2 linked regions of the Struthio camelus genome follow. The protein of the gene in region 1 purifies or fractionates together with the protein of each later gene. This does not show direct contact. Links are inferred from orthologs where the notes say so. Each region holds a gene or a part of one and is shown on either strand. Other genes may lie near its edges.

Evidence for each region.
Region 2: the proteins of PSTPIP1 (region 1) and WAS purify together in Homo sapiens (affinity purification with western blotting; 3 studies listed by BioGRID and IntAct, with this or other methods). This does not show direct contact. The link is inferred for Struthio camelus from reciprocal best matches to the Homo sapiens genes PSTPIP1 and WAS.

Annotation. Positions count from the first base shown.
Region 1 is NC_090953.1:22,308,303-22,323,619, forward strand, and holds the start of PSTPIP1 (proline-serine-threonine phosphatase-interacting protein 1), read left to right. Parts: upstream 1-7,383; 5' UTR 7,384-7,689; coding exon 7,690-7,722; intron 7,723-15,317. UniProt on the Homo sapiens protein: Involved in regulation of the actin cytoskeleton. May regulate WAS actin-bundling activity. Bridges the interaction between ABL1 and PTPN18 leading to ABL1 dephosphorylation.
Region 2 is NC_090979.1:338,961-355,027, forward strand, and holds WAS (actin nucleation-promoting factor WAS), read left to right. Parts: upstream 1-7,804; 5' UTR 7,805-8,056; coding exon 8,057-8,167; intron 8,168-9,076; coding exon 9,077-9,217; intron 9,218-9,690; coding exon 9,691-9,777; intron 9,778-10,197; coding exon 10,198-10,294; intron 10,295-10,755; coding exon 10,756-10,797; intron 10,798-10,952; coding exon 10,953-11,003; intron 11,004-11,340; coding exon 11,341-11,521; intron 11,522-11,696; coding exon 11,697-11,739; intron 11,740-12,524; coding exon 12,525-12,678; intron 12,679-13,356; coding exon 13,357-13,402; intron 13,403-13,552; coding exon 13,553-13,715; intron 13,716-14,264; coding exon 14,265-14,370; intron 14,371-14,483; coding exon 14,484-14,533; 3' UTR 14,534-14,542; downstream 14,543-16,067. Other genes in the region: GRIPAP1 (GRIP1-associated protein 1), read left to right, coding at 80-210, 447-518; TBC1D25 (TBC1 domain family member 25), read left to right, coding at 1,169-1,252, 1,589-1,698, 2,025-2,179, 2,772-2,896, 3,486-3,692, 3,775-5,787; histone-lysine N-methyltransferase SUV39H1, read left to right, coding at 15,337-15,355, 15,860-16,005. UniProt on the Homo sapiens protein: Effector protein for Rho-type GTPases that regulates actin filament reorganization via its interaction with the Arp2/3 complex. Important for efficient actin polymerization. Possible regulator of lymphocyte and platelet function.

The sequences.
Region 1 (15,317 bases):
TTTCAATAGTAACACGAGCGGAAAAACAAAAATGAGCAATATTAATGTAAATGCCAGATATAAACACTTAGACAGCTGAAATGTGGTTCAGCTGATCGACATTTCTGGCATTTCTGGTTTGCAAAAAGGACAAGAGCTCGTGCTCAAGCGTTACGAAGGCTTTTAGCAGCCCCCTCGTCCTCTTTCTGTGTGGCTCTACGTGTTTATGAAGGTAGGAGTATGCGACAAAATATCTGCGTGTGTGTGTTCTCACACAGGTGGAAAATTACAGTCCTACCTGAGACTAAACAAACTACTTTGTCTGCAGTGTTCTGCATTTACATTATGTTTTCTTTGGAAATTAAAAGACCTGCACTTTAATCTTTCAGACAGAAAGTTTACCGGTAATAAACATGCAAATAATTTATCTAGAAAGGTTTTGCTTTTTGAGTTTTTCAATTGAAATGTTATTTCAGATGTTCATGGCTAACTTGCTTCAGTTTTGCATTTCTACTCAGCAAAAAAATTTTATCTTAAAAAAAGTAGTGATTGTTTCTAAATGAGTAGATAGGCCAGAACATTTGCTAAAACATGCCAGAGAAATCTAGACTGTTGCCTCCCATGATGCTAAACCATTTAATATATTATGAAAGAAGAGATATTCTGTGCAGAGATTAAGCTGCTAGAGATGGTATATTTTTGGCAAAAACCCTGATGATTTGAGGTTGACTGAGAAGACCATGATTTTTCAGAGAACATAGACGCATCTATTAAATGCCAGGCTGAATGGTTGTTGCCTACCTGCGTTCCTCCTGCAGTCTCAGTCAGGTAGGATTTTTCACTATCCTAAACCTCTGTCTAATGTTTCTGTGAACTTGAGCCATGGCCAGAATTTGCTTTAAGAAATTGCATCTCCTCGGGGGAGAAGAAAGGAAGAGTATGTGTGTAAGCCTGAGCGTGTAAAACACATACCTTGCTTTCTCTGCAGAACGGCAGCGTTCAGGGCGTCCTTTCTGAGAAACGTCAGCCGGCCTCCTTGGCTAGCAAACCAACAGTTACCTTGAAAGACTGTTGGTAAAATATCCAAAATACACCATGGAGATAAAAACTATCTTGCTGCAGGTACCTGAAGTTTTGACAAAAAAGGGGGGATAGAAACCGAAATCTTTTCATTTTCTCCTCCACAAACAGGTTATACTTATTTCCAAAAGACCTGATTTTTAGCTTTTCCTAACCGTGCTGGGAACGGAGGTGGCAGTAGTGATTTACCGAGCGTCCTGCTCAGTGCACGGCCCTGGCACTTCTGGGTTCCTGGAAGACCTGCACGCAAAGGGTACGTTAAAGGCCGTGTGAAAGTGGTGAGGAAAGGGAGGCAAAAGGCCCTGTCGGTTTCTAAAGGCTCCAGCTTACCAATAAGCGAATAAATGACCTGCTGTCTGATCACTTGTCGTTCCCTGTCCTAGTCCTAATACCATGGCAAAAGTCTAAAGCTCCTGTCCACTAACAGTGCTTCCGTTTGGCACAAGCGTGTCTATATGACTGTTCCTCAGGGGACAATTGCACTGAGTTCCAGGTGATTTCAGTAGATGGCTTTATAGTAGTTGGTGGCTTAGAAAGGCTCAGGGACTTCACTCCCCACCCTTCAGCCCCGCAGAGCTCCACCTCTGAGCTCAGCCTTTCCAGTCCTCTTACAATTCAGGCCAGTCACTTCAAACTATTAACGCAGTGGTGAGCTTCAGTATCTGTTAAGAACTGGACCCTGCGCTGTCGCGTTCCTATTTAATCTAGAGGATATTTTTAGGAAGAGCTTTTCTCCAAGGGCAGCGTTCATCATGAGAGTTGTACAAAAGAACCGCAAAACTATTCCCACACGTTTGCCTGCGAAGGAGACACAAACGAGCTTTCAGAGCTGTTAGGAGGCTGGTGTGTCTTAGAGGTACCACAGCTTATTGGGGACTGCTACTTCTGAATGCTCTTTCAAGCTCTGCTAAATGATGCAAGCTCCCACAACAAGTGATTAACCACTTAACATCTCACCATAAATTTAATTCTAGTCTTTTAAAATGATACTTTGGAAGAGTGTCAAAGACCTAAATTCTTGCCATGTCATGGGAGACAAACAGAGAAATGCAAAGCACAGAGAAAATAATGGAAAAGTGGTGGCAGCAGGGCAAAAACAGTACTCCCCGGTCATACTTCCAGAGAGAGCAGGAAGGCTACGCAGCAGAGCTAGAGAATAGCCATTTCCACGTATTTTAAACTGAAGCACAGACATAAAATTTTTTAAAAAGACTAATAAAAAAGAACAGGAAAGTCTGCATGAAATAAAATGCATGAATAACCAAGGAATGGTTATGCAATTAAAAGCAGTCTTCAGGAACTTTATCATCTTTTCTCACTCACTGAGTTTAGCTTAAAGCAGGTTCACCTATTAAACAGTCGACTTTTAAGATGAAGTTTAAACCCTCAAACAATCTCATCTATTTAAAACTGCTACTTTCACACTGCACACACACGAACAGTTTGAGACTTCCATCTTGTATTAGGGATTCACTAGATTATGTGGAGCATATTTTTGCTGAGCTTTAAGTGTAATCTTAAAAAACATAAAACAACTTTTCACCCTTGGAGTTTTTTCTGCTCACTTTCTTATCATAACGTAATGTGAACTTAAAGAAAATTTATCAGACAAGGTGAATGAAGACAGAAAAAGGTGAAAGAAGAGAAAAACCGGATGAATAAATCCAAAGAATACAATACATAAATTCCTTCTAATTGGCAATTCATTTGAAGGACTTCTGGATTTGACCGTCCTCAGGTTAACACGTTTCCATTAGAAACGTACCACTGAACGATTAGTCTTACAGAAACTGAGCAAGAATTGCTGAGACAAAACCAGAATTTTCTTGGTATAGTTTTTTTTTTATTCATGAAACAGACGGAAGTCCTATTTCCTTGAGAGATAGTAAGAAACAGCTCAAAGACAATATTCTCCTCCAGAAACTCTGCAGATATTTTGGGAGAACCTGGGGGGATCCAGGTCAAGGAAAGTCACAGCTGGGGAGAAGTCAAAGTCCTCACTGGTTAAAATACACACCAAAATAGGAAAAAAAAAAACAACCAAAAATCAAAACCCTGTAGAAACGAAGTTATAGGATGAAAATGAGGGATGCTTGAGGATGCATCAAGCCAAAAGCCCTGCAAGATCCATTTGTCCTCAGAAAAAGGTGGATGCGGGCAAATAACCCAGTGGAGAAAGCGGAGCATGTCATCGCACTTTGGGTGCTCTCCCGGGCTTTGCTGCACTGCAGGGCCAGGGCGCCTTCGGGCGCCAGGGCTGGGGCACGCTGGGGCCACGGCCCAGCTCCTCGTCAGTCAGCCTGAGGAGTGGCATCCTGTGCTTTCTGCGGAAGGAGACCAAATGGGGGCAAAGGACAGAGCAGCACCATGCTCCCGCAGGAGGGGACCCGGCCGGGGAACCCACCTGCCTGCAACTCAGCATCATCCTGGCTTGTGGCAGGAGAACGGGGCAAGACACAACAGCTCTGTGCCCAGAGGCAGCTGGCTTTCTTCTCAGGTCTCACATATCTCGTTATTTTTTGACCTGGAAAGCCCCAGCCAGAAGTCCCCCATCTTCCAGCCAGGCCATGCACTCTGAACAATTTATCTGACCATTAACCTTCATTTGATACAGATAATTTCCACGCTCAAGAGTATCAAAGCAGAGCACTTAACCCTCAAGCATCTTCAGCAGATGCCGGGGGTACAGAAGGCTGCAAGTACTGCTTTTTTACTTTCATCCTGGTTGCCGTGTATCTGTGGCCCCAAACAGCCTGGCTGTGACGCCTAACGAGTGAGGCTTGCTATACTTGCTATGTGCTACTCAAAAAGACATTCAACTCCATGCAAAATTACGCGCTCAGTGTAACCATCATTAGTGAAATTTCAAACTGTGAGTGTATCGGTGTCTGTCTTCTGCCAGTGCGTGATGCCCCTTTAAACAACTTGTCCCTAAAGAAACTACTCAAATCACTCCGCTCTGCTATGTTAGGAAGCCCCCCATGAAAACCCACCGCTCAGCCCAGCTCTGTGTTGCCAGTTAAAGGGTGTGTCAAATAGACATGACAGGTCTCCTTTTCTCTCCTCTGCACACCTTTATCGTAAAAACAAGAGTAGGAGCAGTAAAGCAGAACGGTGCTGATGAAACGAAACAAAGCACAGGGAATTAAAGTGCTTTTCAGAAACAGATTTACTGTAAATCCCGGCCAGCAAGGCACGTATACCCACATTGTACTAAAATGTATGCTGTGATTAGATTGTGTGTGATAAAAGGGTTTTCAGCAAGACAGGGTATTATTTGTCTTACTGCGGATGTATAATTGTTCTAGTGAAGCATCCATTCTAATGGCCTTATTCTTTCTCTTTCATTTTCTTTTTTTAAGAGAATTTTTGTTCTCTGAAGCTTTTTGTTTCTCCATTATGACTTCCCATCCCTCTTTAGAGAAAAAGCTGAATAAGAAAGAGTGAGACCTCGATTCACAATGGCACAGAAAGGCTCAAGAAGGACTTGGGTTCCCAAACACCCCCGTGAATGCAGGCCCTGCTGTCCCTTTGGCCACTTCCAGAACATTAAACCGAGACTTCTGGAGGGCCAGACCCATAGGATAGTGTGCTCAAAGCACCTGAAAAGCTTGCTACCCAGCCACTCGCTAGCATCGCTCTTGACCTGACTGATGACATTTTTACTTCTGCAACTAGAAACCTGCTCCTACAAACCTGTATTTACAGCAGTCCAGTTCAGATTTAAGTTTATTAGCTATCCACTGTAAGACTTTTTGATAGTCTTTGGTGCTTTGGCTTAAGGAAGAAAAGGAAAATTTTTCTATTCCAGCTTTCCTGAGCCCAGGCATTGCTAACGCAGGGAGGGGATACCCCCAGGACTACGCAGCCTCCTCTGCGTACCAGTGCCATCCGTCGCCAGCTGCAGTGAAAGGTTTTTACACGCTGGCCAAGCCGAGATGGTGATGCTGAGCACAGAGGAGGAGAGCTGCGTTGGGCTTGTGCCTCTCTGGCTGGTTGACCACGTGTTATTATTACTCATACCGTGGCAGCTGCGAAGCAGAACAACCGGGAGAAGGTTCTCAGCAACCCTGCCCCAGGCCTGCAGCTCTAGCACTGACGTCTAAGGCCGTGACCATTTGGTCACTGTAGGTTTCACTTTCTTCAGCTGTAAAATTAACATAATTCTCCCCCTCCTTTAAGAGCACTGCAAAGCTTGGCAACCCGTGCGAGCGGCAGGAGCCTTTGACCATAAGCCAGGCACACGGTAACATGTGAGCTGCCCCCAGGGACAGCGTCAGATGAAGCAAGCGCCCAAGAGCTCTGCTTCATCGGAGCTAGAGGCCGGGCCTCCCGCCACCTAACTGCAGCCAAGCCACCGAAATACTTGAGCTAGGAACGCAGACGCTCTCGACTCTTCTGCAGCCAACGGAAAGAGACACACACGCACTCACAGAGCAAACCTACCTGCCTGTTTTTCTGCTCTGACTAGAAAGGAAACTCTGCCTGCCACGCTCCTAGCGGAGGTTACGGGGTTACGCAGGCTTCGCTGGGTGGGACAGACCCAGCACGGAGCTCAGCACTAGCCTGAATCCAACAACTGGCTCTTTGGTTTGGGCTCAAACTGAAAATAATGCAAAAATAACAAATCATTTTGCATTGATCTAAACACATTTTTGCATTCACTATATGCATTTTTTTTATAAACTCCAGCAGCAGCAAAACTATCAGTTTCAAAACAAAGCTGTAAGTTGCAAATAAAATGATGAAATGCTTAGGTTTAGAAAGACATAGATAAAACATTCTTAAAAAGACTTCTTTTTTTAAAACAGATCAACTATTACGACCTGACCTCAAAATGCATTTTCGCAGGGAATTTTTACCCTTGGAAGACAGCTTCACTTCCTTCTCCTCAACACCCTTTGCAAGTGAATCCTCACTTTTCTCCTTCTCCCTCCCTCACGTGATGGTGCTTTTCTCTTGCCTCTCACGGCAATCAAAGCAGTTTCACACCTCTGGCCCAGCAAACGCTTGCTTTCTTTTGCCCTCCTCTGTTTTCGCTTGCTTTCCCCCCGCAGAACCGCTGCCCGTCCCCTGCGCCCTGCGCCGCTGCTCCTCTCCAGACCGCCAGGAAGGGAACACGGCCGTATTCTCCGCTTCCTAGGAGATCGGTTCCAGTAAATTGCTAGTTAAGTGACTACGCGTAACTCCAGCCGCCGACTGCTGAGAGACCTCTCTGAACAGATCTTTGTGCCCAGCTGGAGCTCAGCGAAGGTAAGAGACATCCTCGCCCTAAAGACGCCCGCCCACGCGCCCGGCGCTGCAGTAAGAAGGAAGCGAGACACGGGCATCCCGATGTGTTGTTGGCGTGGAAGTGAATAAAATACTATGAAGATGCACTTCTTCATAGTCAGCTAAGGGGGGAGGTTTTTCCTTCCTTTTTTTCCCTTTCAGTTTTCCTGCCCTATCAAAATTCATGTTAAAATACAGATTCCTTAAAAACTTCTGAGGGGGTGAGCAGACAACTTCTCCTGTAGAGCAGGCGTTCGGAGGAGGGTTTTATGGATGCGTTAGACGTATTACACTATTATCAATTATTTGTGGACATACTGTAATGAATCTGTTAGCCTATTTAGCTAGCTGTTTGAAATACTTCATTGTGGCGCTGCAGTGGGTGTGCTGATGGGGCACGGCCAGGCCAGAGAGCCCTTCACCCGGGGCCTCGCGCTAACTCTTATCCCAATGTCCTTCCCGAGTTTGGGTTTTACTTTTCAGTTTCACATACCCTCTTTATTCATACAGTTATTTACATGAGGAGATGCAAATCAGAGCATTTCCAGATACACCTAGAGGATCTCTACGCACACGTGCACACACCTGTACACTTTGCAATGGCCGTAGCTTAGCTGGAGTCTTGAAAAGCATTTTCAGTTGCAAAATGCAGCTTTGCAGCTCTGTGAGTGTACACACACACTCCTGTGAGTGTGTGTGTATACATATATACGTATATATATACACATATACATGTGCCTCTACCAACCTCAGAAGGTACTGGAGAAATGTGGCACATCCTTTTCTTTTTAATCTTTGTAACACCGCAGAGTTATATCGCAGTTTAATTTCCTCCCCCGTTTATCTGTTTGTATTGTGCTGGTTTCATTTGTGTTTTAATTGCTCCCCCTTCTGCAGTAGCTGCTCAAGTCATATCACTGAATTTTCTTCTTTTCTTTTCTTTTTTTTCTTTTTTTTTTTTTTTCCTGCAAGCAGCTCGCATGCACACACATGGCAAGGAACAAACTGACATCACTTGACATCTCCTTGCTTCCTCATTTCAATATTAACTGCTCACCAGAAGAGAAACGGGTCTGAGGCTAGGGGCTGAGCGTGTGCACGTCTCCCTGTGTGAGCAAGAGCCTTTCTTCCCCTCTGCCCCTTCCCCTCTCCAGGTCATTATACTGAGCTGCCTGAAATTGCCCAATGCTGGTTTTCACCAGTTTGACTGTAGAGAGCCAGGAGCGTGGATGTGTTTCACTTTCTGCTTGGGCCGGGCTACAGCGACAGCTCTGAAGCTGAGTGCCGCCGCTGCTGCTGCTCTCTTCTGAGAACAAACTTCTTGCTGACAGATTCCTTCCGCTCTGCAAATCGATAATAATGACACAGCTGCAGTTTAAAGATGCGTTTTGGGTAAGTGAGCATCTCCTCAGTATTTCCTGTGTTAAATGTATCTATACTTAAAAATAATTTAAAACACAGCTTACTTTTAAATAGAGTTTAAATCTAATTTAATACTTTTCTATATTTTAAATTTAGTTGAGTAAAAAAAACAAATTTGCCTCCATGCAAAAACATACTGTCTGGGTAGTTTAAGCATTCGGTCTTAAACAGAAGGAAGCTTTGTAAAGGATTATGTCTAATTCACACGAACAACTGACATTCCTAATTTCTAAGCTATGTCCAAACATTGTTTTTGGAAAGGACATGGATTTGTCTGTCTCATTGTCCTAAGAGCGCTTGCTTGCAGCGAGTACCCTCAGTTTTTAGGAGCGGCTCCTCCGAGCAGGTGAACTGCTACCCGTTACTATATAAATTCTCTAGCGTTTGCATGTAGAGTTGAGCAGCACCTGCAAAGGCAACCAGCGATATGCAAAACGTTACTGCTCACCCGTGCCTGCTCTTACATGCAAAAGCGTGTGCATGAGGCATTTAGGGTGTGCAGGAGTCCTAGGGCACCATAGGTGGAAAAAACTAGCCGTGAGGTTGAGAATGAAGCCAGAACTCTCAGAACTGGCTTAAAAACGGTGGACACTAAAGCATGCAGATATGCTCGGTTCTTATTTGACTTTCAGTCGAAGCATCTCTGGGTGTCCTGTTTTCGTGCTCTTTCTCTGCGGTTACAAGGGGGGAAAAGCTCTAGTCATTTATCTGGCAAGTATAATCTGAGATTCTCTTGTAGTTGCTTCTGGGGCTGAGGTTTCAAGGGAAAAAACAAAACAAAAAACAAACAAACAAACCCCCCACATGTAGCAAGTTTGGAAATACAGGATGTCCCTTGGTTGCCTCCTGTCTCAACAATCACTTTTCCAACATCAGGGATTGGCATATATATAAAGAGACAAAGGCAGGTGAATTCTTCCTGCCATTTGCCCATCAAGCTAGGTCAAATGGACCCTCCACGGTGCCTGTGCTTTTTGTGCTGTTCTTTCAGCCCACCCTCCCTCCAGGATAAACTCTCTCTTAGTAAAACAGATGGGCAGACCCAAGAACACATTTTGGTAAACCACCTTCCCTCAGACGCTTCCAGGAATCCTCCCTGCCCCCACTATAGTACTAGGTTTGAACAGCTAAAAGTAATGTAATGAGGAAATACCAAAATTAGTTTTCATTTAAAAAAAAAAAATTAATGGGTTCATTGATTTTCATTTTCACCACACCTACGGGAGATTCTCCCCACCTGTTCTTCTGCAAGGTTACCAACCACATAGTGAAAAGCACAGCGCAGGGCATAAAACATAACCCCGTTCTACTACAGAAACTTCAGCTTTTGCATTTCTGAACTTCCTTCCGAATTGTGCAATCTTACTTTAGAACTGATACATTTTGTATATTTACTGTGTTTAGTCATGTTAGCAAGAGTATAATCCCTTCTTGGCTTTGAAGTGCATATTTTCTTTAAAGGAAAGGATCTTTTTTTCTAATATTGTTTGGCTGAAAACATTCTATTGCCAGGCTTGATTAAGAGGGCATGATGTATCCTGTGTGCTATGATAGTCTTAGCTATGCAATAAAAAGCATTTTAAAATGAAAACTTGCAGGATATTGCACAATGAAGCAAAAGAGTACAGCTTTCCCCCCCAAATCGCAAGCTCAGCAATTATTTTTGCATTCACAAGATTCTGTTGTACCCATTAGCAAGACGGAAACATATTTGCTCAGTTTGCTTTGGTGGGCAATTGTTTCCTTTATTCAATTTGTATCATGAATGGAGACCGTCTTCATGATTAAAAAACAAAAAGTACATTTGCATCATAGTAGATCACTCAAAACAGATGCCTGAGCTCCGAGACCTGCCTGAGGACAACGCTGCACCCCTGCCGGGGACTCACCCTGACTAGGTATTCCTAGGCAACAACCCCCTGCTTTTATTTCAGTAGGCTTTTGGATAGGCAGAAGTAGCTCGGGTACCCGACACAATGTAAGATATGTACGTTTTTGCGGTGAACACAAACACTAAAAGCAGCAGATCTTCCCTGGCTAGCAGAGAAATTGCATCATTAATTCTTCCCCAAAGTCTCTCAAACTTTTTTGAGGATAGGGTGGGCTATCTCTCAGGAGAATGTAAGCCGTTGCTTGTAACTGGTATAATTTTTAATTTCTCTTCCCCCCTACTAAATGTAGCAATGATAGGATTGTGCTAGTGGTGTCACGCTTGTGCTATTTTTTGTTTTACTTTATCAAGTCCTGGGCTAAAACTACTATATTTTTTAATGCCGTTTTCTTAGCTTTTACATCCTCCACACACTCAAGTAATGGTTTAAGGGAAGGTTGCTCAAAGCCTCCAGTAAAATGTGTTTCTTCAGCAGAAGTTTCCTGTCCTCTGACAATATTTCTTTTGAAAATTTTAGGGAGATTAAAATAGGAATCAGTTTTGATAGCCAGTGCAGAGCAATTACTAATGGATTAATATTCTGCTGTGCTGCTGTAAAAATGTAACAGATGTTACCTGTCTTCTCTAACATCGTATTAGACAGCTAGGTAAATTTCCGTATTAATGAGGAGCACGTCTGCGATACCAGCTGAGTTTCACGTTAACAGAGTTATGTTACTAGACAGAGATCTGAGTAACGTTCAATTTACTGTTACAAAAAACAGTAACCAAGATATTTTTTCCCCTTCTGCCATAAATACTGAGGATGTCCTTCCTGCCCTCGTTCCACACTCTGGTACCAGACACACATAACTCTCTCTGGCCAAGGGTTAGATGGGGCCTTTACTGGCATCCTTCAGTGCTTTGTCTTAGCCACCGGGGAAGAAGGAATGAGGAAGGCTTTCAGAGGAGGCATTTGGTTTTTGGGCAGGATCCAAAGTGCTCTGAGTTCAGTGGGAGCAAATCTGTTCCCTTTGGCAGCTTTCAATGAAACTTGAGTGGCCAAGTCAATTCTGAAACCGTGTTATGGGCTCCTAATGCGCTTATGATTAAAAAAAAAAAAGCTGCACAGTGTGAAGTGCTTTTTCTTCCTCAGCTGTGGAATGAGCACAGGACTTGTGGATTTTGAGAGCGCAGATTTAAAAGCACTAGTGAGCTGGAGATATTGGCCAGCAAATAGGACACAGGCCTTGAACCTGAGATAGAAAGATTTAGGTCCTTGTCCTACTGTGGACTTTTCTTCTGACTTTGGTCAAGCTGCATTCCTTACCTCTAAAACAGCAGGATCTTATCTCCTCGAGCACTCTAAGAAAAACTATACCGAAGATTATCAGCAGATACTACAGTAGTGGGAGCTGCATAAGCTCCAAAGATAAACAGCCTGTTATAAACAAAGATGTTTTCTTAATCTCTCTTATTTTGACTTTAGAATATATTCTATGACAGGTTCAACACAAAACCTATTTCACAGGTAAATCTTTCAACTCAATGGTATGTTATACATGGCCCAAAAGATGTAATTAGTGTCATGAAAATTTCACTTCTAGTAAGACGGTAACCTGTGATACAAAAGCACAGAAATGATCATAAAAGATCAATTATAGGTTACAGTAAAACTATTCTTATGACTTACTATGCAATATACCAAAGAAATACAATAATACGAATGTTTTACTTAAAAAAGGATACTTCCTTTTATCTTTGTACTGGGAGCCACCCTGCTTTCACGTAGAGGCTGTGCTAAGTTAAGAACCGTGTATGCAGTTTTGCACGGGCTGTTGTTTTGAACCAGGTCTGTCAGGAGGAAGTGGGCCTGGCAGGTCTGTCGGCAGGGAGGGACCAGGTGCTCGGTTAGGGCTCCTTCCCAGCCTCCGTTTCGGAGGTAGGGCTGAGCTCTGTGAGGGAAGGACATAGTTCCTGAACATTTTTGTGCTGGCATTTAAGCTTTGCAAGAGGATTGCCATTAACTTATGTTTGTATTGGATTCTACCAGTCGTAACCGTATTTACTGAGGTGTGGCAAATTAAAATAAATAATCTTAATGCACACTGGCGTACAGGCAGGCCAGACGCTGTGGTCAATATGTACTGCGTACATGTACTCCATACTCAATATGTAGTCCAGTCTCTGGACTGGAGAAAGTGCAACTAGGGGCCAATCTATGGCTGCGTAGACAACAGCCCTGCTGACATCCAGAGGATGCCATTACTGGTAGATGTGCATGGAAACGGAGAAGAAAGCAGGACCTGACTCTGAGAAGCAGAGCTGACTGTCCAGCTGAAGCCTGTTTGTTGTGAGGTCAACTTCATCCCCATGGAATATACTACTCTGTTCATCTTTTACATGGAATTTCTTGCTACGTTCCCCTGTAATAGGAAATATCTGATCTAGGACGGAAGCTTTGCTCCCTGGGACAGTGAGAAGCACCCTGTAAAGGGGTTTCAAATTTCAGAACAGTCACTGAAACCATGAGAAATCACAAGAAGGAAACTTGATTAGTTGTTGTGGCTATGGAAATACTGATGTTTTCAGAAATCACTTCTGAGCAGAACACAACAGAGCAGTTAAAATGAAACTCAAGTGAACTAGCACTCCCAGAAGAGATATTAATAGTGAGACAAACACATCAACGGCTATATCAACCTTCCATATTCCTAAAACACCACCTAGGAGGGTGTGTAAGGGACTGAAGTGCAGCACATTTGGGGCAGTTCGCAGAATCACAGAGCAGCCAAGGTTGGAAGGCACCTCTGGGATTGCCTGGCCCAACCCTGTTCAAGCAGGGTCAGCTAGAGCAGGTGGCCCAGGATCATTTCCTTGGTGATGAGCTGAAATGGAAAGACTAGAGTTTTTCTGTTTGCACTTTTGCTTATATCCTCAGTCAGTTACAACTTGCATGTGGTACACCAGGCGTGTGGTACATCTTTCCTACACAGGGAAAGAGTTTCTGAGAGGAGGTTTAAACACAGTGACCCGCTCCCAAGGCCTGGAAGACTTCACAGACCAGGTAGATTAATGGGTTTAGAGAAAGCTCATTTCAGGTCAATTAAACCATTAAGTCATTACATTTTATTAACATTTTCTGATGACCATGATGCAACTGAATGCCTTACCAAGGGGATTTGAGTGCTTATAATTGTTCATGGATAAAGTCAAAGTGACAACTTTGTTCGTATTTTTACATAATTCTGTCTGGTTTGTTTTGATCCTTCCTGCTCTACAAAAGTTGTTTGATTTTGCTCGGGCCCAGAGAAATGGAGGAGTCTTATTCATGCCAACTTTAATTGTGCCATTGATATGTATTTTAAACATAGAATAGGTGAGTCATAAACTGCTCTCTTCACCTGCACATACACAGACACCTGTACTGAACACCACCTACAGTTAAAGGAGTATTTGCTGCACATGGCTTGAAACAGATCCTGCGGATCTGTAGCAGCACTTCATGCAAAGATCGGAGTGAGTGTCCTACAGCTTGCTAAAGTAGCATGTTAAGATGTATTCCCCTGTCACAGAATCACAGCATACCTGAGGCTGGAAGGCACCTTGGGAGATCGTCTAGTCCAACCCCTCTACTCAAGCTGGGTCAGCTAAAGCAGGTTGCCCAGGACCACGTTCAGTTGAGTTTTGAATATCTCCAAGGATGGAGACTCCACCTCCTCTCTGAGAAACCTGCTTCAATGTTTGACCATCCTTTCAGTAAAGAAGTTTTTTTCTTATGTCTAAATGGAACTTCTTGGATTTCAATCTGTGCCCATCACCTCTTGTCCTGCCACTGGATACCACTGAGAAGAGTTCGACTCCATCTCCTTTACTCTCTCCCAGCAGATATTTATACACGTTAATAAAATCCCCTTGAGCTTTTCCTTCTTGAGGCTAAACAATCCCGGCTCTCTCAGCCTCTCCTCATAGGACAGATTCTCCAGGGTGAATCTCATTTTGACATATTTTTTCACCCAGGATTGGGTGATTCACTGGCCTTCCCTTTCCTCCCTCGAGCCTTGCTCAACAGGGCAGAGCAGAACAGCACCAGCCCTCTTCCGTCAAAGTTTGCAGTCGCTAACCAGGGGCATGAACCTTTTGTTGCTTTGAAGGCACAGTGGAACGCTCTGAATTCCAATCCAGCTAAATTTACTGCATATTTGTATGGAAGGCAAATTAGGCTGCTTTGTAAACAGACTTTTTTGTTGTTCTTCAGCTCCTTTGAGCTCAAAAACACTTTGTTCTGATTTTGCTTTCATGCCACAGTGCAGCAAGGAAGTTTCTGGCTGGCAGATGGCACATAAAACACTTGTTTCATCCCCTGTTTTATCTGATTTTTGTAATAAATTCTCAGCAGCTGCAGTTCAGTAACATATAAAGTTCACAGTGTCATATAGACAGAATTTCAGGACTGGGGTCTGGGATGAGGTGAGGGCCAGAGTGCAACACCCTGCACTGGAATCAGTGTAGCTTAGGGCATGTCAAGGAAAAAAAAAAGTTGAAAATGTGCCTCCAGATCCCAACATCTTTTCAGTTCCCCAAAGAATTTCTCCTTTACTAAAAAAGGAATTCAGCACTTCTTCAATATAGTGAAAAAAGTCACTGAACAAGACTGAGGAATTGAAAAGTTCCATAGCTGTCGGTAAAGCGCTCTTGGTGAGACTTTGTTTTTCCTTGAAATGCAGATTAATGATTATTGATAAGCTGTAAGCCTTGAGAACTAAATAAAAATTGAGCAGCAAAGAGTTCAGGCTGGTTTAGAGACGCCAGCTCCCATTTTTTCCATTTAAAGACAAGGACAAATTAAAACCAACAAACAAACTTTTTTCCTCTTAAATAACAGCTTTGCAAAGTAAGATGCTGTCCAAGCCTAGTTAATTTCTAAAAAGGAAGAAAAATTAAAAACAAAGGGTGGAGGCAAAGGCAAGAAAGAACGAGTAGATGAAAGCTGATGGAGGAAGAGGCAGAACGAGAAGCATAGTGTCCTGAAGTCATGTGGCCCCACCTCGCTCCCCACTCCTTCATCACTGACGGAAGCCACCAAAGCAGTTTGTGTGTATTTTTGTTCTCTAGAGTGTTTTTTCACATTACTGAGCATGTTAGGAGGTTCTTGCAAATCAGGCAGTGGGCCAAGTGCTCTATCATGCTCAGTTTAAGAAAATGGGACAAAAAAGCCAAGGCCCTGCTCTCCCACCAGCCTTAACCAAGGTTATTCAAAGTGTCATCAGTTACAGTGGCAGCAACACTGACTGGTGTGGTTTCCCCCTGTTTGCAAGAGCTGCTATAGTTACTGGGGAAACATGATCACCTGGAAACGTTGTCAAGGGCGCAGGGCAGGAGGAAGAGCCCTTGTGGCTGCTGCTCATGGGAAGGAGAGCCCAGGAGCGTTGGGAAGAAGGGAGGCTCCAGCCGGGGGACGGGCAGCCCCAGGCCCTCTTCAGCCTGGGGCACGTGGGAAGGGAAGGGCTGACGTGACCGGGCTGCTGTGGGCACAGCCGGCTAGGATTTGTGTTTCTGACAAAACCTTGCAGAAGTTATTTACTTGTACACAAGTCAAACAGCTAGAGAACAGAGGGATTAAAATAAAATTCATCACTATATAGACAGCAGATGGTGGTCAGGGCGCCAGCTTGGGCAGTGGGATGTCCTGCCT
Region 2 (16,067 bases), on another chromosome or scaffold:
AGGGAGCGTGCCCGGACGCCTGGGCCCTGCCGGGGGCTTCCCCACGCCCCCCGCTGACCCCACGTGTCCCCCCCCCCAGACGCGGCGGCGGCTCCCCCCGGCGCCCCCCGGCGGGGCAGGGGCCCCGGCGACGAGGACCTGCGCGAGATGAACAAGAAGCTGCAGAACATGTTGGAGGAGCAGCTCACCAAGAACCTGCACCTGGGCCAGGTGGGCGGGGCCTCCTGGGGCGGGGCCTATGGGGTACCCCCCCCTTAGGGCAGGCTGGGCTCATGGGTGGAGCCAAGCAGGGGGCGGGGCCTCATGGCATGGCTCGGGGCAGGGGTGGCTGGCACGGGGGTGGGGCCACGGAGGGGGCTGTCTGCGGGTGGGCGGGGCTTCCGGGGGGCTTGGCCGTGGGGCCCGGATGCCTGGGTCCCTGAGCACACCCTCCCCTCCCTCCGCAGGACCTGGAGGCGCTTTCACAGGAGCTGGTGCGGCTCAGCAAGGAGCGGGCTGCCCCCCCCGGCCCCCCTTGAGGGGCGTGGCCCCGTTAAGGGGGTGGGGCCGCCCCGGGGGGCAGGGCCTCCCCACCTGCTCTGCCATCCTGGCTGTACATATCCCCCTGTGGCCCCCCGCGGGGGGGTTCCCCCTTTAAGGAGGCGTTGCCACTTTAAGGGGGGGTGGGATCTCGCACTTGCACCCCTCCCGCTCCCGCCACCCTTTCAATAAACGCGATTTGAACCGCAGCCGCCTCCGTCTCTTGGTGGGGGAGGGGCGCTCGGACGCCGGGGCGCTTAGGGAAGAGGCGGGGATTACGTCATTACACTCCAAGCTGGTTCGCATCTCCCTCATGACGCGCTTCCCCCCGGCGTCGCCATGGCGGCCGGGACGCCCGCCCGCCCTTCTCTGTCGTCACTTCCGGGCGCGGACCCGGATGTTGTTGCCGGCGGCCCCGCCCACCGGATGTTGTTGCCGCCGCTGCCCGGCTCGGCCGCAGGACGGGGGTGACCGCGGCGCCGCTCCCGCTTCCCCAGCCCCGCTTCGCTTGAAGCGGGGCGCGGCGTGACGTCAGCACGGCGGTGACGTAAGCTCCCCCACCCGCTTCTGCCGGTTGGGCGGCGGCGGCTCCAACCGCCCCCCCCCACCAGAAGACAGCGGTCCGCGCCTGCGCTGAGCCGCCGCCGCCATGGCGGCCGCGGGGGGCGGGGCCTGGACGGGGGGCGGGGCCGCGCTGGAGGAGGAGTGCGAGGTGGTGCGCGTGCGCGTCAAGGTGAGCGGGGGGCCGGGGGCGGAGCTAGCGGCCGCCGGGAGGGGGTGCCGCTGGGGGCGGGGCCAGCGGTCTCTGGGGCGGGGCCGAGGGCTTCGCGCTAAAGCGGGGGGGGGTGCGGAGGTGAGAGGAGGCCACGTGGGCGGCGGTGCCCAATGAGGCGCGAGGGTGGGAAACGGCAGGGTGCCGTTAGGCTGTTGCCGTAGCGACGCGCTGAGGTGGGGCGCCATGTCGTTGCGCCGGGGGATGAGCGTGAGGGCTGGACGCCTGGGTCTGCTGGGGGGGGGGGAGACCCCCCCGCCCGGCCCCGGACGCCTGGGTCCCTGACGCTGCCACCAGAAGAGCGAGGGGCTGCTGCCGCCCGAGTTCCGCTCCTTCGCCGTGGACCCGCAGATCACGTCGCTGGACGTGCTGCAGCACATTCTGGCGCGTGCCTTCGACCTGCAGGGGTGAGCACCGGGGCCCCTCCCCTCCCCCCAGGCATCTCCGTCCCCCCACCTTCCTTGTGTGGGGGAGGGGGTCGATTCCCTGGATGCTTAAGTCCACTAGGTACACAGAGGAAGTCCCCGTGGGGGGGAGGGGTGTTGGCCTGGACACCTGGATCCGCTGGGCACAGTCGGGGATGGGTCTCCATGAGGGGGGTGGGAGGGAGGTGCTTGGCCCGGATGTCTGGGTCCACTGGGGTGCATGGAGGGGAAGCCCCACGAGGGAGGGGGGTTGTAAGTGGTGGGGGAAGGGCACACCCCCAGACTCCTGGGCCTCTCATGGCACACAGGAAGAAGAGCTTCGCCGTGAGCTTCGCGGCCCGCGACCGCCGGGGCCACGAGAGCTTCACGCCGCTGGCCAGTGACAGCGACCTGGCGGCTGCCTTCGCCTCAGCCGCCAAGCCTGCCCTGCGCCTGCGCCTTGACGTGCGCCCACCCGACGACAGTGAGTGCCGCCTGGCCGGCAGGCCCCAGCATTTGGCAGAGCCCCGCCCTGCTGGCCAGAGGGTCCTGGTGTCTGGGAGGACCCACGCGACCCCTTTGAGGGCTGGGTGGGGGGACCCAGCCATCTGGGAAGAGCCACATCTTCCCCTTAGGGAGTGGGTGGGGGGACCCAGGGGTCTGGGAGAGCCCCCACCCTCATCACCCAGGGACCCAGGTGTCTGGGAGAGCCCCAGCCCCATCTGTCAGGGGGCCCCAGAGTCCGGGAGGAGCTGCATTTTCTCCTTGGGTACTGGCTGGGGGGACCCAGGTGTCTGGGGAGAGCCCCTGATCCCAGGACCAGAAGGGGACCCAGGCGTCTTGGAGAGGGTGGGGGGACCCAGGTGTCCTGGGGGTGGCACATCAGGGGCCCGGGTGTCTGGGTGCCCAGGGTGGGCTCTCGAGCAGCGTAGAGGAGACCCAGGTGTCCGAGCGGCCTGGGGGTTGTCATGGGGGCTCTCGAGTGGCATGGTGGGGACCCAGGCGTCCAGGGACCCGTGGGGGGCAGGGTTGCAGGAGTGGCGGAGCAGGAGGGACCCAGGCGTCCGGGCCCGCAGGCCCGCTGCTGGAGGACTGGGACATCATCAGCCCGCGGGAGGCGGCGGGGGCCGAGCCCCCCGGGCCCGAGCGCCGCTCGCTGCTGGCCGCTGCCCTGCCCTTCACCCAGGCCCTGCTGGCACAGGTGGGTGCAGGGCCTCCCAGGGCTCCCAGTTCCCCTCCCCAGGCCCTCCCAGAGCTCCCAGTTCCCCTCCCCAGGGTCTCCCAGCGCTCCTGGGCTCCCCCCCAACACCTCCCAGTGCCCCTCCGACGCTTCTCAATGCCTCCAGTTCTCTCCCAGACACCTCCCAGTGTTCCTAATTCTGCTCCAACACCCCCCATGGCCTCCAGTGCCTCCAGTCCCTTCCCAGACACCTCCCAGATCTCCCCCTCTCTCCTCCTTCTAGTGCTCCTAGTGCCCCTCGACACTTCCCAGAGTCCCCAGTCCCTTCCCAGATGCTTCCCAGTGTCCCCAGTCCCCTCCCAGGTGTTTCCAAGTGTTCCCAGTTCTGCTCCAACACCTCCCAGTGCTCCTTTGACACCTTCCAGTGCCCCCAGTCCCTTCCCAGACACTTCCCAGTGCCCCTTGACACTTTCCAGCGCTCCCACTCCCTGCCCAACACCTTCCAATGCTTCCTAGACTCCTCCTAGTTCCCCCTCAACACCTCCCAGTGCTCCTAGTCCCCCCCCAACGCCTCCCCGTGCTCCTGGCTCACCTGCCGCCCCCCACACAGGTGGGCCGGACACTGGCGCGGGCGCAGGCGGCACTGGCCTGGCCTGAGGGCTCCCCACCGCCACCGGCGTCGCCTCCGCCACCGCCGCGGGCCCCGCTGAGTGATGCTGACCTGCGCAGCTACCTGGGCCCCGGTGGGCGCCTGGCCCGGCCCCGCGACCTCCGCCTGCACGTCTACCACGGGGGAGTCGAGCCCGGCCTGCGCAAGGTATGTCTTGCCCCGCCACCGTCCCCCACCCCTCCTGCCCGGATGCCAGGGTCCCTAATGGCGTGGCCTCATCCCCGCACAGGTGGTGTGGCGCTACTTGCTCAATGTCTTCCCGGCGGGGCTCTCGGGCCAGGAACGCCTGGCCCACCTGCGGCGCAAGGCAGCCGAGTATGGGGCGCTCAAGGCCCGCCTGGCGGCCCAGGCGGCCCCTGGCGAGCTGGCGCTGGTGGGGGCTGCTGTGCGCAAGGACGTGGTGCGCACTGACCGCGGCCACCCCTACTTCGGGGGGCCTGAAGAGGGGCACCCGCACCTGGCCGCCCTCCAGGCCTTGCTCACCACCTTCGCCCTGGGCCACCCGCGCTTGTCCTACTGCCAGGGTATGTCAGATGTGGCTGCCCCACTGTTAGCCGTTCTTGATGACGAGGCCCAGGCCTTCATCTGCTTCTGCGCCCTCATGCGCCGCCTGGCTCCCCGCTTCCGCCCTGGCGGCCGGGGCCTGGCCCGGGCTTTTGGGCACCTGCGGCGGCTGCTGCGGCGCGCCGACCCGCCGTTCTGGGCCTTCCTGGCCGCCCGCGGCGCCCACGACCTCCTCTTCTGCTACCGCTGGCTGCTACTGGAGCTCAAGCGGGAGTTCGCCTTCGAGGACGCTCTGCGGGTGCTGGAGATCACCTGGAGCTCGCTCCCACCTGCCCCGCCGCCCCCTGCCGACGGTGTGCCGCTCCTTGGTGCCCCCCTGGGCCCCCGGCGGGCTCGCTGTGGGCTCCGCGAGCGCCGCGGGCTCCGGCCCCGGCCCCCCCGACGGCACCGGCGCCAGTGCAGGGCCCAGGAGGCGGCTACGCTGGGCGCAAGAGGAGCTGAGAAGGAGCCTGGAGACGACGCTGAGGGGCTGAGTGGCCTCGGGGATGTCCTAGAGGCTCCAAAAAGCTGCGGAAACCTCCAAGAGGATCCAAAGGTCTCCAGAGATGTCCAGGAGGATCCAAATATCCCCACAAACGCCCAAGAAGATCCCAAGATCAGTGACGTCCAAGATGCTGCTAAGGTTTCCACAAACATCCAGGAGGATCTGAAGGTTTCCCAAGGTGCGCCAGGTAGTCCTGAGATCTCCCAGGATGGTGGAGCGAAGTCGGAGGTCCCAGATAATCCCGAGACCAACCGAGGTGTCACAGAGGATCTCCATGTCTCCCGGGACATCCCAGAGGATCCCAAGGCCTCCAGGGAGGCCAGAGGGGGACCCGGTGTCCCCAAAAAGGCTGATGAAGACCCTGACATCCCCAAGGAGGTTGGCCAAGACCCCAACACCCCCAAGGAGGTTGACCAAGATCTCAGCATCTTCAAGGAGGCTGAACAAGACTGCGATGTCCCCCAGAAGCTCAGCCAAGGTCTCAACGTTCCCAAGGTTGGCCCAGAACCCGACATCTATAAGGAGGTTGGTCAAGACTTTGGTGTCACCAAAGAGATTGGGCAAAACCTCAACGCGTTCGAGGAAGTTCGCCAAGATCTCAACGTGCCGCAGGAGGTTGGCCAAGATCTCAGCATCCTCAAGGAGGTTGGTCAAGAACCCAGCGTCTTCAAGAAAGTTGGCCAAGACCCAGGTGCCTTCAAGGAGATTGGCCAAGAGCTCCGCAGCCCCCAGAAGGTTGGCCAAGACCCTGACGTCCCCGAAGACGCTGAAGCAGACGCTGCCACCCTCCCCGAGGTTGGTGAAGCTGATGATGACCCCTGGGCCGGCCCGTGGGCTTGGGAAGATTCCTCCTCCTCCTCTTCCTCCTCCTCCTCCTGCTCCTCCTCCTCCTCGTCGGAGGACGAGGTGGGTGTGGAGGACGACGGGGCGCCGCTGCCACCGCCGGAGGAGCTGGGCCAGGGCAACCCCTTCCTGCTCTTTGTGTGCCTGGCCATGCTGCTGGAGCAGCGTGAGGCCGTCATGGCACGGGCCAGCGACTACAATGAGGTGGCCATGCACTTTGACCGCCTGGTGCGCCGCCACGACCTGCCCCGGGTGCTGCACCGCGCCAAGGCCCTCTTCGCCCGCTACCTCGAGGGCTGGGGGGGGCGTGGCGGCCCCGGCGCGGGTGACAGCGACCCTGCTGAGCCCTGACGCCTGCCCCCTGCTGCCGCGCCTGGCCGAGAGGGGTGTGGGGGGAGCTGGGGGCACCTATGGAGCCCCCAAGGGGGCCCCGAGACCAGCTGAGGGACGCAGAGATGTCCGTGGGGGTGTATAGATGCCTCTGGGGACCCTATAAAGCCCCTGAGGTGGCCCACAGAGCAGCTTAGGGACCCCAGAGATGCCTATGGAGCGGTGTAGAGATCCCTGGGGACCCTATGGAGCCCCCAAGTGGGCCCTGAGACCGGCTGAGAGACCTGGAGACGCCCATGGGGGGCTATCGATGTCCCATGGACCCTATAGAGCCCCCGAGGAGACCCATAGACCAGCATATGGACCCCATAGATGCCTGGGGGGACCTATAGATCTTCCTTGGGGACCCCTAGATCAACATAGCTATTCTGAAGGCATGCATGGGGACCCATAGATCCCTTTTGGGGACCCATAGACTCCCTTAGGGACCTGTAGAAAATCCTGGGGACCCTATAGATCCCCCTTGGCAGCCGTAGACCAACATAGGGACCTTGTAGGCACCCATGGGTACCTATAGCTCTCCTTTGGGGATCTGTAGGTCCCCCTTGGAGGCCCATGGACCAATGTAGGAATCCCCTAGGTACCCCTCAGGGACCCATAGACACGCCTGGGAATGTATAGGTTGGCATAGGGATCCCCTTGACACTTCTCAGGGACCCAGAGATACCCATGGGGATGCCCTGAGGACCCATAGACCACCATAAGGACCTGTAGGCACCCCTCAGGGACCCATAGATCCCCCCTGGGGACCCATAGGCCCCCATGGGGACTGTAGGCACCTACTGGGGACCTGTAGACGCCTGCTACGGGGAGCCAGGGACATCGCAGCAGCCCCAGTACGGCCCAGTACAGCCCACTGCCTCCCCTGCCATTTCTCTACGTCGCCTCGGAGCGTCCCGGCGTGGACCAGTATGAACCAGCGTAGGTCTGGGGGCCCAACTGGGAGCTCCTGCATCTCCATGGCCTTGGGTTGGACCAGTTCGGACCAGCATGGACCAGTACAGCATCCTCATCGGGATTCCTCACCTGCGTGGCCTTGCGCCGTCCCAGTCCAGACCAGTACAGCGGCAGAGCTGGAATCTCTTCACCCACCTGGCCTTGGGCCATCCCAGTACGGACCAGTATGGACCAGTATGGCATCTCAACTGGGAGCTCCTCACCCACGTGGCCTTGCGTCTCCCAGTATGGACCAGTACGGACCGGTAGGGCACCCCCACTGGGACCTCTTCACCCACACAGCCTTGGGTCCTGCCAGTATGGACCAGTACAGCCCAGTGCCCTCCCCACCCGGTGCCTTCCTATGTCCCCCCTTTATTTATTGCCCCCCCCCCGCCCTCCATCCTACTGGGAGGGGCCCAGGCGTCCGGGGTGCTGCGAGGTGCAGAAGACGCAAATAAACCTGACGCCCATGTTTGTCGTTTGGAGGCTCCCAGTATGGACTGGGGATGGGCTGGGTGGGTCCCATTCCATACTGGGGAGGGATTACAGGTGCTTATATCGATTGGGAAGGAGCTGGGGATCCCAATCCGTACTGGGAAGGGGCTGGGGGAGTCCCAGTATGGACTGGGGAGGGGATAGGGCTCCTAGTATGGACGGGGAAGGGGCTGGGAGGCTCCCAGAATGGACTGGAATGACAATGAGGGATCCAAATCCATACTGGGAAGGGTCTGGGGGTCCCAATCCATACTGGGAAGGAGCTAGAGAGCTCCCAGTATGGACTGGGAAGGGGATTGGGGGGGGGTCCCAGCCTATACTGGGCCTGCAGTATGTACTGGTGGGTCGTGGCATGGACTGGGAAGGGCCTGGGGTTCCACTACAGACTGGGATGGTCCCAGTACGGTCTAGGACAGAGTTGGGACTCCCCTGAGGGGGGAGGGGAAGCCAAGGCGCCCGGATGCCTGGGCCCCCAGCCAGGGGGGAGGAGGGGGGGCCGCGGCCTTTGGCTGCTCCCAGTCCCTCCCAGTTCACCCCAGTGCCCTCCCAGTTCACCCCAGTCGCCCCCAGTCCGGAGGTGACGCGCGCTTCCGGGCCCGCTACACGGAAGAGGCCTCCGCGCGGGACCCAGGCGTCCGGGCCGAGGGCTCCCCACCTCTGCAGGGGACACAGGCATCCGGCTCGGGGAGGTGTTTCCCCCCCAGCCTCCTCCAGGAAGGGGGCCCAGGCATCCGGGGCCCATAAGCGGGGCCGGAGCCGGCGGGGGAGTGGGGAAGGGGCCCAGGTGACTGGGGCGATGAGCCGGGGGGGCCGGGGGGGGCCACCGGGGCCCGACAACGTCCCCTCGGAGCTGCTGCAGCAGCAGGAAAACCTGCGGCTCTTTGAGCTCCTGGGCCGGAAATGTGTGGTGAGGGGCCGGGGCAGATCTGGGGGTCCTGGGGGGGATTTGGGGGGCCCTGCAGGAACCCTAAGGGCTCTGGGGGGGATCTAGGGGGTCCTGGGGGGGGCTGTGGGGGACTTGGGGGGATTTGGGGGTCCCTGCAAAGGCCCTAAGGGTTCTGGGGGGATCTGGAGGGTCTTAGGGGGGGATTTGGGGGTCTGGGGGGGCCCTAAGGGCTCTGGGAGGGTATAGGGGGAATATGGGGGGCCCTTGGGCTGGGGGGGTCCTGGGAGGGGCCTAAGGGGTCTAGGGGGGGATCTGGAGGGGATATAGGGAGTCCTGGGAGGGATTTGGGAGGGATATGGGGGATGGGGGGATTTGGGGGGTCCTGGGGGGCTCTAAAGGGTCTGGGGGATATTTGGGTGGATCTGGGCAGTCCTGAGGGGGATTTGGAATCCCAAGGGGGTCAAGGGGGTGTTTGCAACATCCTAAGAACCTGTAGGAACCCCCTTGAGTGCTATAGGAGCTCCCCCCAGGCACTAGAGCCACCCACCTAGTCCCTGTAGAGGCCCCAGGTGCTATAGGGCCCCCACACATGCTTTAGAGCAGCTCCTGGGTGCTATAGGAGCCTCTCAGGTGCTATAGGGTATCTTTAGGGGCCATAGGGGCCCCTTGGTGCTATACATGCCCAAGTTGCTATGGGGTCCCCCCGGGTGCTATAGGAGCCCTTCGGGTGCCCAAGTTGCTATAGGGCCCCCTGGGTGCTATAGGGGATCCCTAGGTGCTATAGGGGCCCCCCAGGTGCTGCAGACCCCAATGAGCCCCCAGCCCTACAGGGACTCCCCAGCCCCATACCTCCCCCAGCACCGCAGGGCCCCCCCAGCGCCCTGCCCCCCCCCAGGGGTGCTATAGGCGCTATAGGGGCGGCTGCGGCAGACGCTGGCGACGGCGGTGGTGCAGCTGCTGGAGGCGCGGGGGCCGGGGGGGGCGGCGTGGACCAAGCGGGGCTGCGGCGTCGCCTGCCTGGTCAAGGACAGCCCCCGGCGCTCCTACTTCATCCGCCTCTACGACCTGCGGGTGAGCTGGGGGCCCTGGCATCCAGGTGGGGGGGCGGGAGACCCCCACGGGCTGGGTAAGAGGTGGCCAAGGGACCCAGGCGTCTGGGCGGGGGAGCCCAGGGGATGGACCACCACGGGCTGGGTGGGAGATGGCCAAGGGACCCAGGCGTTGGGGTGGGGGAGCCAAGGGGACCCAGGTGTCCAGGCAGGGGTGGCGGGAGACCCCATGGGCTGGGTGGGAGGTGGCCAGGGGACCCAGGCATCCGGGCAGGGGAGCTATGGGGACCGAGGTGTCTGGATGGGGGAGCCACGGGGACCCAGGCGTTGGGGTGAAGGAGCCACGGGGACCCAGGCGTCCAGATGGGGGAGCTATGGGGACCCAGGTGTCCGGGCGGGGGAGCCATGAGGACCCAGGCGTCCGGGCGGGGGGGGACGGGAGTCCCCACGGGCTGGGTGGAGGTGGCCAAGGGACCCAGGTGTCTGGGCGCGCAGGGCGGGTGCCTGTGCTGGGAGCAGGAGCTCCGGGCCCACATGGGCTATGCTGCCCCCACCCCCTTCTTCCACACCTTCCCTGCTGACGTGAGTAGGCGGGGCCAGGGGCGGGGGCGGGGCTTCGGCTGCTTGGGGCAGGGTAGGGTGGAGCCAACTGGATGGGGGCGGGGCTACAAGCTGGGGTGTGGCTACAGGTGGGGGTTGGGGTGGGGCTAGAGGTGGGGGTTGGGGCGGGGCATCCGGCCTGAGGGCGGGGCTCTGGCTCTGGGGGCGGGGCCGAGGGCGGGACTCTGTGCTGGGGCAGGGCTTCAGCATTGTGGGTGGGGCCAAGGGTGGGGTTAAGAGACTGGGGGCAGGGCTTAGAAGGCAGTGGGTGGGGCTAAAGGGGCCTGAGATGGGGCTGATGGATGGGGCAGGGCTAAGGGAGTGTGGGTGAGGTGGAGGGTCTGGGGTGGGCTGGGGCTGGGGCGGGGCTGGGGCGGGGCCAGGCGGTGATTGGCTGCGCAGGGCTGGCAGGCGGGGCTGAACTTCGCCCACGAGGGGGAGGCGGCAGCGTTCCAGGCCCTGGTGGAGGAGAAGGTCTGGAAGCAGCAACAGCGGGCGGGTGAGCTGCCCCACGGCCCTGCCCCATGGCCACCCACGGTGCCCCACAGCTTCCCCATGACCACTCACGCTGCCCCACGGCAGCCCCAGGGCCACTCACACTGCACCGGAGCTGCCCCACAGTGGCCTATGAGGCACTGGGGCTGCCCCACAGCCACCCCCCCTGTGCCAGGGCTGCCCCATGGCCACCCACGCTGCCCCGTGGCAGCCCCAGGGCCACCCACACTGCACCGGGGCTGCCCCACAGCAGTCCACGAGGCACCAGGGCTGCCTCATGGCCACCTCCAACAGCCCACAATACACACTAGGGCTGCCCTATGGCAACCCACAGTGCACTGGGGCTGCCCCACAGCCACCCACGATACACTGTGGTTGCCCTACAGTGACCCACTATGCACCAGGGCTGCCCTGGTGCCCGCCACGCCATGGGGCAGCCCCACATTAGCCCCTTTCCCTCCACAGAGAAGCGACAGCTCCCACCCCCACCACCCCCCACGGCTGATGGTGAGTTCCCCCCCCTATCCCGGGAGGCTTTGCGGGGCTGTGGAGGGGGCGCCGTGGGGCAAAGAGCCACGGGGAAGGAGGAGCCGTGGGGTGGCCATGGGGGGGATGTTGTGGGGCAGCCGTGGGGCGCTGACCTCCTCTGCCCCCCATCACAGAGCGCCGCGGGAGTCTGCCCCGGCCCCCTGCATCTGCCGGGGATGGCTGTGGTGAGTGACTGCCCCATAGCAGGGGCTCCGCTGCCCCACAGCGGGGTCCCTGCCCCATAATGGAATGTCCCTGCCCTATAAGGGGATCCTTGATGCCCCATAGCAAGTGGTTCCTGCCCCATAGTGGGGTCTCTCCTACCCTATAGTGGGTTTGCCTGCCCCATAGCACAGTCCCTGCCTCATAGCAGTGTTCTAGCCCCCTAGCAGGGTCCCCTCTGCCCCATAGTGGGTTCCCCTGCACCATAGCCAGTCTCTACTGCCCCAAAGGGAGTCCCCCTGCCCCATAGTGGCCGCCAAGCCCCATAGCGGCCCCCGCCCCACACACATGCCCCCGCAGCCCCCCCAGTGCCGGCTGTGCCCATTGCCAACCCCGACATCACGGCGAGCCGCTACCGGGGGCTGCCCAGCCCCACGGCTGGCCCCACAGCGGGCCCCACAGCAGGCCCCACAGCCACTGACCGCAAGCGGGGTCGCAAGAAGATCTCCAAGGCTGACATCGGGGCACCCTCCGGCTTCAAGTAGGTCTGGGATGTGTGGGGCTGGGGGGATGTGTGGGGTGGGGAGATGTGTGGGGCAGGGGGACGTGTGGGGCTGGGGGGGACGTGAGGGGCAGGGTACATATGGGGCAGGGCTCGGCCATGGGTCCAGCCCTCCTGCTATGGGGCAACCCCTCATATCACCACCCCCCACCAGGCACGTGGGTCACATCGGATGGGACCCCAACAGCGGCTTCAACGTACGTCACCCCATAGGGGCTGTGACCCTCAGGCCTTATGGGTGGAAGAACCCTGTGGGCCCCATAGGGGGGATGGACCCCCCCAAGCTCTATAGGGGAGAGACCCCCTGGGCTGTATAGGAGAAACACCTCCCTCCCATGGGCACTAGAGCTCCCCTGCAGAGGCTATAGGCCCCACACCCCTCTAGGTGGCAGCTATGTGCCCCACACTGCCCCGGGGTGGGTGCTATAGGGCCTGTACCCCCTTAGGTGGGTGCTATAGGGGTCATAACCCCCCAGGGCAAGTGCTATAGGGCCCGTACCCCCCCCCCGGGGCTGGCATTATAGAGGTCATACCCCCTGAGCCAGGCTCTATAGAGGTCATACCCCCTGGGGTGGGGTTTATAGGTTCCATATCCCCTGGGGTGGGTGCTATAGGTCCCATATCCCCTGGGGAGGTCCTATAGGGGTCCTATCCCCTGGGGCAGGCACTATAGGTCCCATATCCCCTGGGAAGATCCTGTGGGGTCCCCCCCCAGGGTGGGTGCTATAGGTCCCATACCCTCTGGGGAGGTCCTATAGGGGTCCTATCCCCTGGGGCAGGTGCTATAGGTCCCATATCCCCTGTGGTGGGTGCTATAGGTCCCATAGCCCCCTGGGGAGGTCCTGTGGGGTCCCACCCCCCCAGGGTGGGTGCTATACACCCCACGCCCCCAGGGCGGGGCGGGCAGCACGGCCCCATACCCGCGGGGAGGGCGGCGGGTGGTGCCAGCAGCCCTACGGAGGCCGTAGGTGCCGGGCCGCAGGTGCAGGAGCTGGACCCAGACTTGCGGGCGCTGTTCGCCCGGGCCGGCATCAGCGAGGCGCAGCTGGCCGACGCCGAGACCTCGCGCCTCATCTACGACTTCATCGAGGGCCAGGGCGGCCTGCAGGCCGTCAAGGAGGAGATGCGCCGCCACGGTGAGCCCCCCAGCGGCCGCGCAGCGCTCCCTGCGCCCCCGGGCCCGAGGGGCTCCGCCGCCCCGATGACGGCAGCCACCTGTCTCCTCCGGGGTAGGCCCCTCAGGCCCCGCTGTAAGACCCGTACGACCCTCGCCGTAGGGTCCGTAGTCCCCCAGATAGGCCCCATGCCCCCCCGTTAAAGCATCCATACCCTCCCCATTATAGGGTCCATACCCCTTCCTGTTATAGGGCCCTTATGCCCCATTATAGGGTCCATGGGCCTCCGTTATAGGGTCCATACCTCCTCCGTTATAGGCTCCCTATGCCCCGTTATAGGCCCCACCCCCTCCATTATAGGCTCCATACCTCCTCCGTTATAGGCTCCCTATGCCCCGTTATAGGCCCCACCCCCCCGTTATAGGCTCCATGCCTCCTCCGTTATAGGCTCCCTATGCCCCATTATAGGCCCCACCCCCCCGTTATAGGCTCCATACCTCCTCCGTTATAGGCTCCCTATGCCCCGTTATAGGCCCCACCCCCCCCCATTATAGGCTCCCTATGCCCTGTTACAGGCCCCATGCCCCACCATTATAGGCCCCATACCCCCCTAGGTGCCACGTGCCCCCCCAGCCCTAGGGGCGTGGCCCCGGGGGCGGGGCTCCCGCCGGGCGCTGACGCCTCTCTCCCCTCCCCCAGGGCCGCCGCCCCCCCCGGGCCGCGCCGCCGCCGCGCCGCCGCCACCGCCCCCCGCGGCCGGCCCCGCCCCCCGCGGCCGCCAGGGGCCGCTGCCGCCGCCGCCGCCCGGGGCGCCGCCGCCGGCCCCGCCGCCGCCGCGCGGGGCCCCGCCCCCTGCCCCGCCCCCTGCCGCCGGCCCGCCCCCTGCGCGCGGGAGCCCCGCCCCCCCGGCGCGCGGCGGAGCCCCCCCACCCCCCCCGCCGCCGCCGCCGCCGCCGCCGCCGGCTGCTGGCGCCACCGCCGGTGCCCCCGCCGCGGGGCCCCCCCAGGGCCGCGGGGCCCTCCTGGACCAGATCCGGCAGGGCGTGCAGCTCAACAAGGTCGGGGGGCACGGGGCTGGGGGACGATGTGGAGCAGGTCGCCATGGGGCGGGGGACAGTGTGGAGTAGGGTGTCATGGGGCAGGGGACGGTGTGGGGCAGGGGACGGTGTGGGGTGGGTTGCCGTGGGGCGGGGGGAGGTGTGGAGCAGGTTGCCATGGGGCAGGGGATGGTGTGGAGTAGGGTGTCATGGGGCAGGGGACGGTGTGGGGTGGGTTGCCGTGGGGCGGGGGGAGGTGTGGAGCAGGTTGCCATGGGGCAGGGGATGGTGTGGAGTAGGGTGTCATGGGGCAGGGGACGGTGTGGGGCAGGTTGTCGTGGGGCAGGGGGAGGTGTGGAGCAGGTTGCCATGGGGCAGAGGACAGCGTGGGGCAGGTTACTGTGGGGCAGGTTGCCATGGGGTGGAGGACAGCGTGGGGCAGGTTACTGTGGGGTGGGGGGAGAGGTTTTGGGCAGGGGACACTGTGGGGTAGGTTGCGTGGGACAGGTAACAGTGTGGAGCAGCGTTCTGTGGGGTAGCCCTGACTCTGTTCCCTTTCCCTACCTGCAGACCCCTGAGGCCCCTGAGGCGGGTGCCGTGGGGCAGCCTCCCGAGGGGCTGGTGGGGGCCCTCATGCAGGTCATGCAGAAGCGCAGCAAGGCCATCCACTCATCCGGTGAGCTGGGGGGCTGCCGCCCCACACGCAGGGGGCCACCCCACATGTGAAGGGCACCCCCTGCGCTGTTCCCCCCTCCAAACCCTGCTCACCCCCTGCTTCCTCCCCCCCAGACGAGGCCGAGGACGCCGAGGAGGACGAGGACGACGAGTGGGATGACTGAGCCCCGTGGCGCTGGCCCATGGAGCCCCCGTGTTTGTGTGTCCCCCCCGCCCTGTAGCACCCCCTCTTTCCCACAGTGCTTTGCTTTGCGGGCCTGGTCCGGTACGACCTCGCTTACCCCCCCCACCTGCCCCATAGCGCCCCACACATGGGGTTTATGCGGGCCACCCCATGGCGGAGGCCGAGCGCCGTGTTGGCGTGAACGAGACCTGGGGGACTGTGGATAACGTCTCCTTCCCCCGCACTTTTTTTTTTGGGGGGGGGGGCTTCATTTGTGCAAGCTGCTAAGGAATAAACCAGCACCGCACCACCTCGTTTGCTCGAGCTGCTAACGAACGAAGCCGTTGCCTCGAGGTGAGCGGGGCCGCTTGGCGGCACCCCCCCACACCACGTGGCCCCAGCCACCAGCAAGCACGGCCATGCTTCACAAACAACGTGTTACAAAGATTAATGAATGAGATTAATTAATTAACGGCTACGTGTGATTGCTACGTTCCATCACTCTGAGGCTTTGTGGGGCGGGGGTGGGGGGGAATATCCCGCTTTCCGCCCCGAGGCGAGAAGGCGGAGGCAGGGCACGAGCCCTGGGTGTGCCCAGGGCGGGGGAAAAGAAGCGGAAATTGGTTAAAAAAAAAAAAAAAAGCGGCCCTGGCGTGGGCGGTGACACCGGGAAGGAGCGCGGGGGCTGCTGGGTATATGCAAATAAGGCGGGCGGGCGCTGCCAATCGGAGGGAGGGGGCGGGGCCGCGCGGTGCGGCGGCCGCGCGGTGCCTGTCGGGGGGGGAGGGGGGAGGAAAAAAAAAGATGGCGGAAAATTTAAAAGGTGAGCGCGGGGCGCGGGAGGGCGGCGGTCGTTTAACGGCCGCGCGCGGCGGTTTAACGGTCGCGGGGCGCGCGCGCGGGCCGCGTTCGAACGCCCCCCCGCCCCCCCACACCTGGCGCGCTGCGCGACCGTTGAACAGCCGCGCGCTGTGAGGGGGGAGGCGCCTTTTCCCGCCTTTTCTGAGGGGGGCAGCGCGCGCGCGGCGGGTATAAAAGGGGGCGCGGGGGGCGGGGGAGGGGCAGTGCGTGAGGGGGCGCGGGGCGCGCTGAGGCGGCTCCTCCGCCGGCGGGGGGTGCGGGGGCGCCCGGTGCTTCGGGGGGGTGGGGAGGCTATCCCCACGCCTGTGGGGCTGGCACGGAACCGGGGGGCTTCCACGCGCGTGGGCGCCGCGCCACCCTCGACCTCAGACGCGTGTGGCAGGTAGGTCCCGTGGGGCGTCCAGGCAGCGGTGGGTGGGGCCCACGCGCGTTGGTGAAGGTGCCCCCGCCCCCCGGTGCCCCGCAGGCTGCTCCGTGTGCTGCAAGTCGTCCTGGGCGCAGCTGCAGGACCTGTGCCGCCTGGAGCGGCTGCGGTGCCGGGCGCTAGGCGTCACCCGCCGCAACCTGGCCCACTTCGAGGTGGAGTACCTGTGCGACTACAAGAGAGTGGGGGTGAGTGCACGCCTGGACACCTGGGTCCCTCGCAGAGGTGGGGAGCACGGACGCCTGGGTCC